Tribolium castaneum: one gene and its partner. The protein of the gene in region 2 purifies or fractionates together with the protein of the main gene of each other region. This does not show direct contact. Links are inferred from orthologs where the notes say so. Each region holds a gene or a part of one and is shown on either strand. Other genes may lie near its edges.

The links.
Region 1: the proteins of Nup160 (region 2) and Nup43 purify together in Homo sapiens (affinity purification with mass spectrometry; 5 studies listed by BioGRID and IntAct, counting the BioPlex papers as one, with this or other methods). This does not show direct contact. The link is inferred for Tribolium castaneum from reciprocal best matches to the Homo sapiens genes NUP160 and NUP43.

The regions. Positions count from the first base shown.
Region 1 is NC_087398.1:14,041,678-14,045,776, forward strand, and holds the start of Nup43 (nucleoporin Nup43), read right to left. Parts: upstream 2,802-4,099; 5' UTR 2,700-2,801; coding exon 2,478-2,699; intron 2,408-2,477; coding exon 1,939-2,407; intron 1-1,938. UniProt on the Homo sapiens protein: Component of the Nup107-160 subcomplex of the nuclear pore complex (NPC). The Nup107-160 subcomplex is required for the assembly of a functional NPC.
Region 2 is NC_087395.1:25,113,997-25,118,221, forward strand, and holds the start of Nup160 (nuclear pore complex protein Nup160 homolog), read right to left. Parts: upstream 2,814-4,225; 5' UTR 2,718-2,813; coding exon 2,633-2,717; intron 2,584-2,632; coding exon 2,161-2,583; intron 2,000-2,160; coding exon 1,810-1,999; intron 1,760-1,809; coding exon 1,414-1,759; intron 1,366-1,413; coding exon 1,114-1,365; intron 896-1,113; coding exon 532-895; intron 479-531; coding exon 306-478; intron 7-305; coding exon 1-6. Other genes in the region: uncharacterized protein LOC655733, read right to left, coding at 2,943-3,135, 3,190-3,322, 3,370-3,717, 3,830-3,860. UniProt on the Homo sapiens protein: Functions as a component of the nuclear pore complex (NPC). Involved in poly(A)+ RNA transport.

The DNA.
Region 1 (4,099 bases), on a different chromosome or scaffold from region 2:
GCGTTTCAACCTAAAAATTTTCGTAAAATATTTCGTCAAATAATGATTAGGTAAAGACGTAAAGACGGCGGCAAATTACAAAAGCAACTTTAACAAACGTTAAATTTGTCAGTTTTTTGAATTGCACAAAATTAAGAAAGTGTTCATTTTTTCTTCTAATTCATTATCTTCTTCCGAACTGCGAAGACAAAAAATTTATAGAAAAAGAAAAATTATTTTGAAATTGTTAGTGATGTAAATTTCTTCGATCAGTTTCGTTTAACCAAGCCAACCATTTACGCTCGTTTGAAAAATGTTGAATAGATTACGTTCTAACAAGTAAAAGTCTCAAAATTGACGCCTGTGCTATGGCAGTTTGATTTAGGGTATTAATACAAATCGAAAGTTAAGAGTAAAAAATTTTCCAATTGTTCGTTTTAGAGTTATTGATAAAAATGTAAATAATAAGCTTTAGCTGTCTTTCCAATTATTTGTGCAACATAATTGATTAGTTGATGTTAGCGATATTAAAATTCTTTGAATAACTGTGTCTAGTAAAGAGTATTATTAATTTCCTTCGTTTTTGTATGTGTTAAATGATAAGATACCACTTTATTAGTGTATTCGAAATTTTGACGATATGTTAAAAGCTCGGTTATAAGTAAGATGTTTGTATGATGGCAATGCCACTGCTGAGACTAGGGCCTACACGGAAAAGTTTCCAAATCGCATTATAGCATACTTTGTGACAACAAATTTGGTAAATTCGCTTTTAATAAAATTTAATGTACAAATTTTAAATTTTAGATACTTATCAATAACTCGATAACGAAGGACAATTGGACAATTTTTCACTCTTAACTTTCGATTTGTTTTAGTCTTCTGAAGCAAATCCTAAAAGCATGGGCGTCAATTTTGAGTATATATAGGGTATATACTTATAGTTCTCACATTACTTGCTATGTCAACCGCAAACCAACAAAAACTTACCCCACAATTGCAGTTATTATTTTGATCATTGTTGTTTACAAGAAGGAATCCTAAAAGATAATGAGCCTCTTGCAGGTACTAAGAAGATGCCCAAAATAATTGATGCGGTTTTGTGGAAGTTTTCATTGGTTTATGGTATAGACATAGCCAGTTACGCAGAACTATACACAACATCAAAAATAAAAATATTTTCGTCAACACTATAACTATTTCATAAACTTCATCAACAGCAGCAAGCTGAAGACGAAAGGAACCATTATCGTTGATTTTTTTGCGTACTAATGATAATGTGGATTTAGCACAATTATCTGGCGGACTAAATACTAACAAAAAATAGTTATTAACATCAACTGCATTAAAGTTTGAAATATCAATGTCATTTCTTTACGTAAAGTAATCTTATATATGCGTTCCAAAATCAACTATCTCCGCGTTGTTTTTTGGAGTTATGTGTTTGCCTTAAAAGACTTAAAACTTTAGCCACATGTTATTTCAGCAAATACGTAGTTTGAGTTTTTTTATTCCATTTCACTATCTAGTCTTAAAAAAAGGATTTTTAAAAGACATTTTGTTCCATAACCGCCCATCTCCTCTCCAACTTGTTCCAAAACTTGCCACCTCCAACCTTAAAAAAAATGCAGGCTTTAAATTCAAACATTGTAATTAAAGTATAGGTCATCGAATTCTACTCTCTAAGAGGTTTTATATCAGTGTAATTTAAAATTTATTTGTTCAACAGCATTTGTATTAAACATTAAACAAAAATACTGAATAGAGACGGCAGGTTTTGGAACTAGACGACTCATTTTACAGCGTTCAATTTTATTAAAACTTCACGCTGTAAAATTATACCTACCGCACGTATAATGTAAATAACTATTTTGGTATCATTTAAAAGAAAGTTGCCAATACCTTTAAGTTGGCACCATTTTTGGCGTTTGCCAACATAAATAAAAAAAAAATAGGTACCTTCTTCATCGCCAGCTACCACCAAATGCCTCTGTGTAGGGTGGTTTTGGAGACACAATGGCGAGATTTGATCCCCACTCAACATGAAAGTGGTCGCGGGTTGGCTTTTAGGGGCCCGAATATCGAAAATCTTCAATTGTCCACGAAAATTACCGGTCAAAATTTCGCTATGCTTCAGAAAAGCCACACAACGAATTGAGCAACTATCGGCGTTTTCAATTGTGCGGATAACGTTTTGGTTTTGGGCATTTAACAAATTGATAGAACCGTCTTCGCCAACGCTCACAATATCGTTGTCGTAGGTGCAAAAGGCAGTGCAAGGGCAATTCTCCCCATTGGGAAATTTGTGAACTCCCTCCCAGTAAATTTTTCTCTCAATTAAGGGATCAATTCCATGTTCGGAAGTAATCTTCAGCAGACTGACGCAGCCCGACGACGAAGAAGCAACGAAAAAATCGCCGTTTAAGAACTAAAAAATGACAAAAATTGTTTCACTCGCTACGTGGCTCGTATCGCAATACTGATTGTAATATACATACTTTAACTTCAGTTATGTCCCCGTTGTGTGGAAATTCAGCCACCAGAAATGGATAAACTTCGGCATCTTCTTCATTTTCTTGGAAATCCCAAAGTTTGATGCTGTTTTGGTCATTGTCCCAACTGCCGGTTACAAAATAATGCGAGGCATTCATAAAATCGGGCCTCCAACGGATTTTATTAACTTTTTCAGAAACAAATGTTCCATGAATGTTGTGGGCCATATTTTGTGTATAATTAAGCCCATAAAAATTAAAAAAGTGGCGCTATAACCTCACTGTGTCGTTGAAAGCATAATTGAATAATTGTCAGGCAACCCACTATACGTGCGGTGGAGTATACTCCGTATCAAATCTATAAGACAAATTGCTTAACGACTCTACATTTTTTTAAGCCAGAAGTACGTTATAAGAATACATGATTAATGTTTAGAAAATATTGTTACGGCTGAACTGTAATAAGTTTATGTTTAAAAATAAAATAACTATTTAAAACAGATTTTTTTATGTGGGGGGTTTATTTTATAGAAACGGAAGTAGGTGTACGTTCATGGCAACCTGTTCACTGACAGTAATGTTTTCCACTAGATGTCAGTCATGAAATTTCAACAACAGAACTGGCCTTTATAAAGCCCCCCTACATGAAAGGCAATTAGACGAATTTAGTAATAAATACAAAATAAAGTATGTGATAAGCTCTCCCAAAGCCAAGAAATGGAACAGGTCAGTAAAACTAAAACAATTTACAACTTTTTTAACCTAGAAATTTTTCAGATTGATAAAAAAATCGAAGACGAAAATGATTAAACAGCTGTTGCCTGAGGAAGACACTAAGCCAGTTTAGTGTTGTAGCAGCCCCTTGAGGAGCACAAATGTCGTGATTATTCCTTTGAGACGAACCAGTTTCTACATTTAAAGGGACACCATTGAATAAGATACACTATACACACATTAAACATGTGCCTTTGAATCAAATGTGTGATTCCATTCACAGCTTGCGTTAGTTGCAATTTAGAGACGTTTTTTGTATTAGTGTTTCTAAAACTTGCTATTAGTAACAGACATGGTTATTTCAGTACTGTAAACAATATATATTTAAATGTCGCGAATGTTCATATGATGCAAAAAATAAAGCCGGCGATTTAAAAGATCACACACTGCACCACCATATACTTTCAACCTCATTAAATGTCTGTTGCACAGACTATTTTCAAGACGCTGTTTAAAAACATGTTTTTAGAACATTACATATCAGAACAGGTTTAAATGTTTCACTTAACTTTATAGAATAATTTGGTGAAACGTAAGGCCCTTATTGTATGTCACAAATCTCATTTTAAAACCAATAATAATATTAAATAGTTATTTTGTATTATCTTCCAAGCAGAGTAGTTAAGATTGACTAAAGTAATATTTTATAACAGTGCAGTTGACGACAGAAAATGATTCGCAAGTTAGGGTTTCTTTGGGCTTGCTTCAGCTTAGGCCCCATGTCTGCTCATGGTAACATCTGTTCTGAAAAGTGAGACGAAGTGAGCAATAAACATCTTTTTTACTGCAGACTAATCATTTTCTGGCCCCATTGCATTGTTGTCATGAAATATTACTTTAGTATATCTCCACAA
Region 2 (4,225 bases):
GGTGAACTAGAGCACAAATCGGGCGGTTTTTGCTTAACTATTTACGCGAGATCGAAAAAATACGCGAAAGCTCAAAAACTACAATAAATTGCAGTGCTTTAAATAATTTTAAAATTCTTCAAGAGTTTTCCGTAAATGATTTGAGCAGATATCAACAGAAGCAGCTGTCATTAAAATTTTCTGTGATATAAATATAAGAATGGTTCGCCAGGCGCCACGGTAAAAGTACCAGATAATAAATTGTAAAACGTTTTTTAGGGCTCAAAAGCCCCAGAATATTTTTTTAACATAAAAAAAGTACGAACCTCGGTGTCCATCTCGCGCTGGATCTGCTCAAGGAGAGCCCCCATGACGACATCAGGCGACTTCAGCAGTGCCAACTCTCGTTCGAACGTGTACGCGAAAATCTCACTCATCTGCGAATCCAAATAATTAATGACCTTGAACAAACTGATCACGTCGTCTGTGATATCAACATCTGCAAAAAATGAACCAATCACAATTGATTAATTAACTGTGCGGTTTAATTACTCTCAGACAAGAGGAAATATTTGGTGAATTGGTCCCTAAACATGTGGTCGCTTTCGTAGATGAAATGTTCAAAAATATCGAGAGGTCGCAAAAACGAAATCATGGATTTTTTCAAAAGTACGGCCCCGGAGGAGTTTGGAAGAACAAGGAGGCCTAAAGGTTTAAGTCCAGCGACGTGGTATTGGACGCAACAGGAGTAGAATTGTTGCCAGCAGTAGCTGGCGGTTTCGAGATAATCTTCGTCGCTGACGACGGTTTCCTTCAGCTCGTTTTGGACCTCGTCTTCGACGGCCATGCAGATCTGCTGCTTGAGATGGGCCGCCGAGAGGTTCAAGTCGCTGATGACGGCCGAGCGTTTGTAAATCTATAATAAGCAGTTGGTGTGACAAAAAACGCGCAATAATTTTTATGTATATTTTTTAAATAAAAGGTTTGAAAAGCAACAATTTGTTATTTTGTCGGGTCGCCAGGAGTCACATTAATTGTGCCTCAACCAAATAAGAAACTAAGAGGTTTAGAGAAAAACAAATGGCACATTTTCGAAAAATACAGTAAAAAAATCAGCTTGACTTGAAAACTTACGTTCAAAGCCTTGCTGATTATATGCAAGGGGAACCTGCCCGGGTGGAAGATGTGCTGGAGGTAGCTCTGCCTGGGATCCGTCTCCCCGTCGATGCTCAACGGTTGGCTGGCGTCTGGCACATTTTCCAGAACCACGGGAATCCAGTGACTCCCCGCCTGGTTCGAGGCCGAATACACCTCACATTGGCCCTCTTTTCCGCGCCAAACCGACCAAATCCGACTTGTCGAGATCGTAAAATCGATCAAATCGGTCTAAAACCCCAAACTTACCCCCTATCACTTATCCCACCTACGACTCACCTGAGCCAAATCAAGTATATTAAGCCTCACTAGCCGAACCTGCGAGCCACTGAGCATCGGCTTGAACACATGCAACTGACTCTTGGCTGCGAAACTCATGAAAATACCCAACAGACACTCAGAATCAAACCCATCGACGGCTTTCCGCAGGATGTGGTTCTGAGCGCCTTGCAGCTGGTTTCTGGCGCCGGTTTCGGCCATGACGTCGATCACTGAGACACATTCGGCCTTTGAGCACGACCAGAATTTCAAATGACCGTTGCGGCAAAGTGTCAAAGCGAAAGTTTCAAGACCGAAAGTATGTAAAATGAGGCTGACGGTAGTGTCGCCTTCTTTGTCTTTTTGGCTGCAAAAAAACCGTCAGTTTTCCGGGCCGGAAAAAATGAAGGGTTGTACCGCAGCTTGTCGGCGAGACCTGAGAGAAAGCGGGGCACGATTGACTCGCTTTTTAGCTCAGCTGAGTCGATTTTGCCCTCGGGGGACTGTCTCAGAAGGAGGATCTCGCCGGAGTGGTAGGCCAACACGAAAATTGCTTCCTCCTCAGCGAGGGTCAGGGAAGAGGCGGCCAGATATGGCAGCTGAGAACCTTTAAATAAGGGTTCATCTAGTCATGAGAAGTCCAATATTTTAAATAATCATGCAAACGTATCTAATTTTGCCATTTGGCAAACCTATTTAAAAAAAATTATGATTTGCTCGTTACGACACTCGTCTCCGGCTCGTGACTTAAAAAATTACAAGACCTACTCGAATTGGTGAAAAAGTGGAATGTGGCGGGATCCCTCGCCTCGTTGGCCGTAGCTTCGCTGAACACCGACGGCGCCGCCAGATCTGGGTGAACCCCCGCGACATGGTCCTGCCGGTGGTACTTATCCGGATGCGGAAACACCAACCTATGGACGCTGCACACCGTGGGCACCAGAACCACCACATTATCGTACGTCTCATGGATGGAAACCCCGTCCAAAATCGGGGTGTCCACAAATTTGTATCTGATGCGATTTCCGGCGAGATTTATATCGAGACTGTGCTCCACGAGCTCCAGGACATCGTGGCTAATCCTCCAGTAGATAAACCGATTCCTGGTGTGGTGTCTGGTCGAGTCGCGGTAACAAAACCCGTTGGCCCTTTCCGCGACTTTGATATCTTGAAGCGTCCCTTGTGTCCCCCCTGTTACATAACCTCAGTTTTACGTAATCGGCGATTTTTGTGATATTACCCGTGTTGAGGGTGATTTCGCGCCAGGGATCGGACACCGTCTGGTCGGGGATCACCTCCCGGTACCCCAACGCGATTTCTTGCATGGTTTTAGCCCGTTTTAACGGTTTTTTGTGCAAAAGTTAGGTTAGGTTTACGGAAACAAAAAATCAAGGTCGGCGAGTGGCGGTTAGATAATTTTCAAACTCAGGTTAACTCGCCACCAGAGGGCGCGGGGTCAGAAAATAAGACAAAATTCTACTTATTTATTTATTTATCGTACATTTATAACAAAAATAACATTTATAATACGTGGAGGGATAATATAATAACTATGAGAATAGCTTGGTTGAAGTGAATGATGCTAGGAGGAGTAGAACGCTGCTGAAGCCAATGGAAATAGCTGAGTTACAGGGTTTGCGAATTGCTTGGAAAAATCGGTTGTTTAACGACTCAAAAGCGGCGAAATCGGGACAACTACGGGCTATCGCCTCACTGAAGCACTTCTTGGACGCTTTTAAGTCACTAGAATCAGAAGAAAGATGAAAAAGTTGGGTTTGTAATCATGGGGGCACCTACAGGCACAGGTCGTCTTTCCGGACCACGTCGCTAAACCGAGCGAATAGTTTAGTAAAGCAGTTTCCAACTTGTTGCCCCTCTTGGTTGAGTTTCAAGTTTTGGCGGCAATCTGCCCCTTGGGTACTGAAGAAATCTGTATTTTCCTTGATAAAAAATAGTTTTCAAAATTTTAAATCTTACTTTCGATGGTTCTTTGGGAACACACAAAGTCGAGAAATGAGGTGAAGCTTTCAACCATGAACTTGGGCAAATACTTCTCGTCTTTGGGCAAACACGGTTTGACATCATGGGCAAGCTGGGCGGCTAGACGGGCCAGTGTGGGCCTTTCGTCGTTGCAGAACTGCTCCTTACCATTGGGCAATAAACTCGCAGCGTACGAAAGATAATCGCCAAATTGCCCCAAATGGGTCTTTATATCATCGTAAGCCGAAGCGTCTGTGCTATAAACCCGACACCTATCATAGATAAACCTGGAGATTTTGTCAGAGGAGTTCCCCTGCTGGCCCGCCACACTCGCCAAAACAAGCCCTGAAAAGTTTCGGTCAAATATTGCGTAATTTCGAGTGGGCTTGGGTCAAAACAAACGAACCCATGTGTCACATTTTCCAAGCCAACCATGACCTACAAACAAAAATCTCACCTGCAACAACGAGGAAACTTGTAATTTTCATGACCAATCCTGGAAATTGACCTTTTGAAGTGTGCACTGCGGATTATTTATACAGACGCTAGAACGTCACGCGACCTTCTATTTCTCTTCAAACCAACATTTTAATGAAAAGGAACAAGTGCAATATGTGCAGAAAAATATAAACTCGCGGAACCCATTTTGTTGACGCGATGAATTGGGGGCTGCATAAAAATGACCGATTCGTCATCGGTCAACGAAAATCCGCGCACTTTTCGAGGAAATTCACTTATGTTATGACTCAATTTGCTACAAATTCTTAATCGATAAACGAATGAGAAAAATGCGCGTTTAACGCGAGCAACCGCTGACGCGTGCTTTTTACAAAAATAAAACAATTAAAAAAAT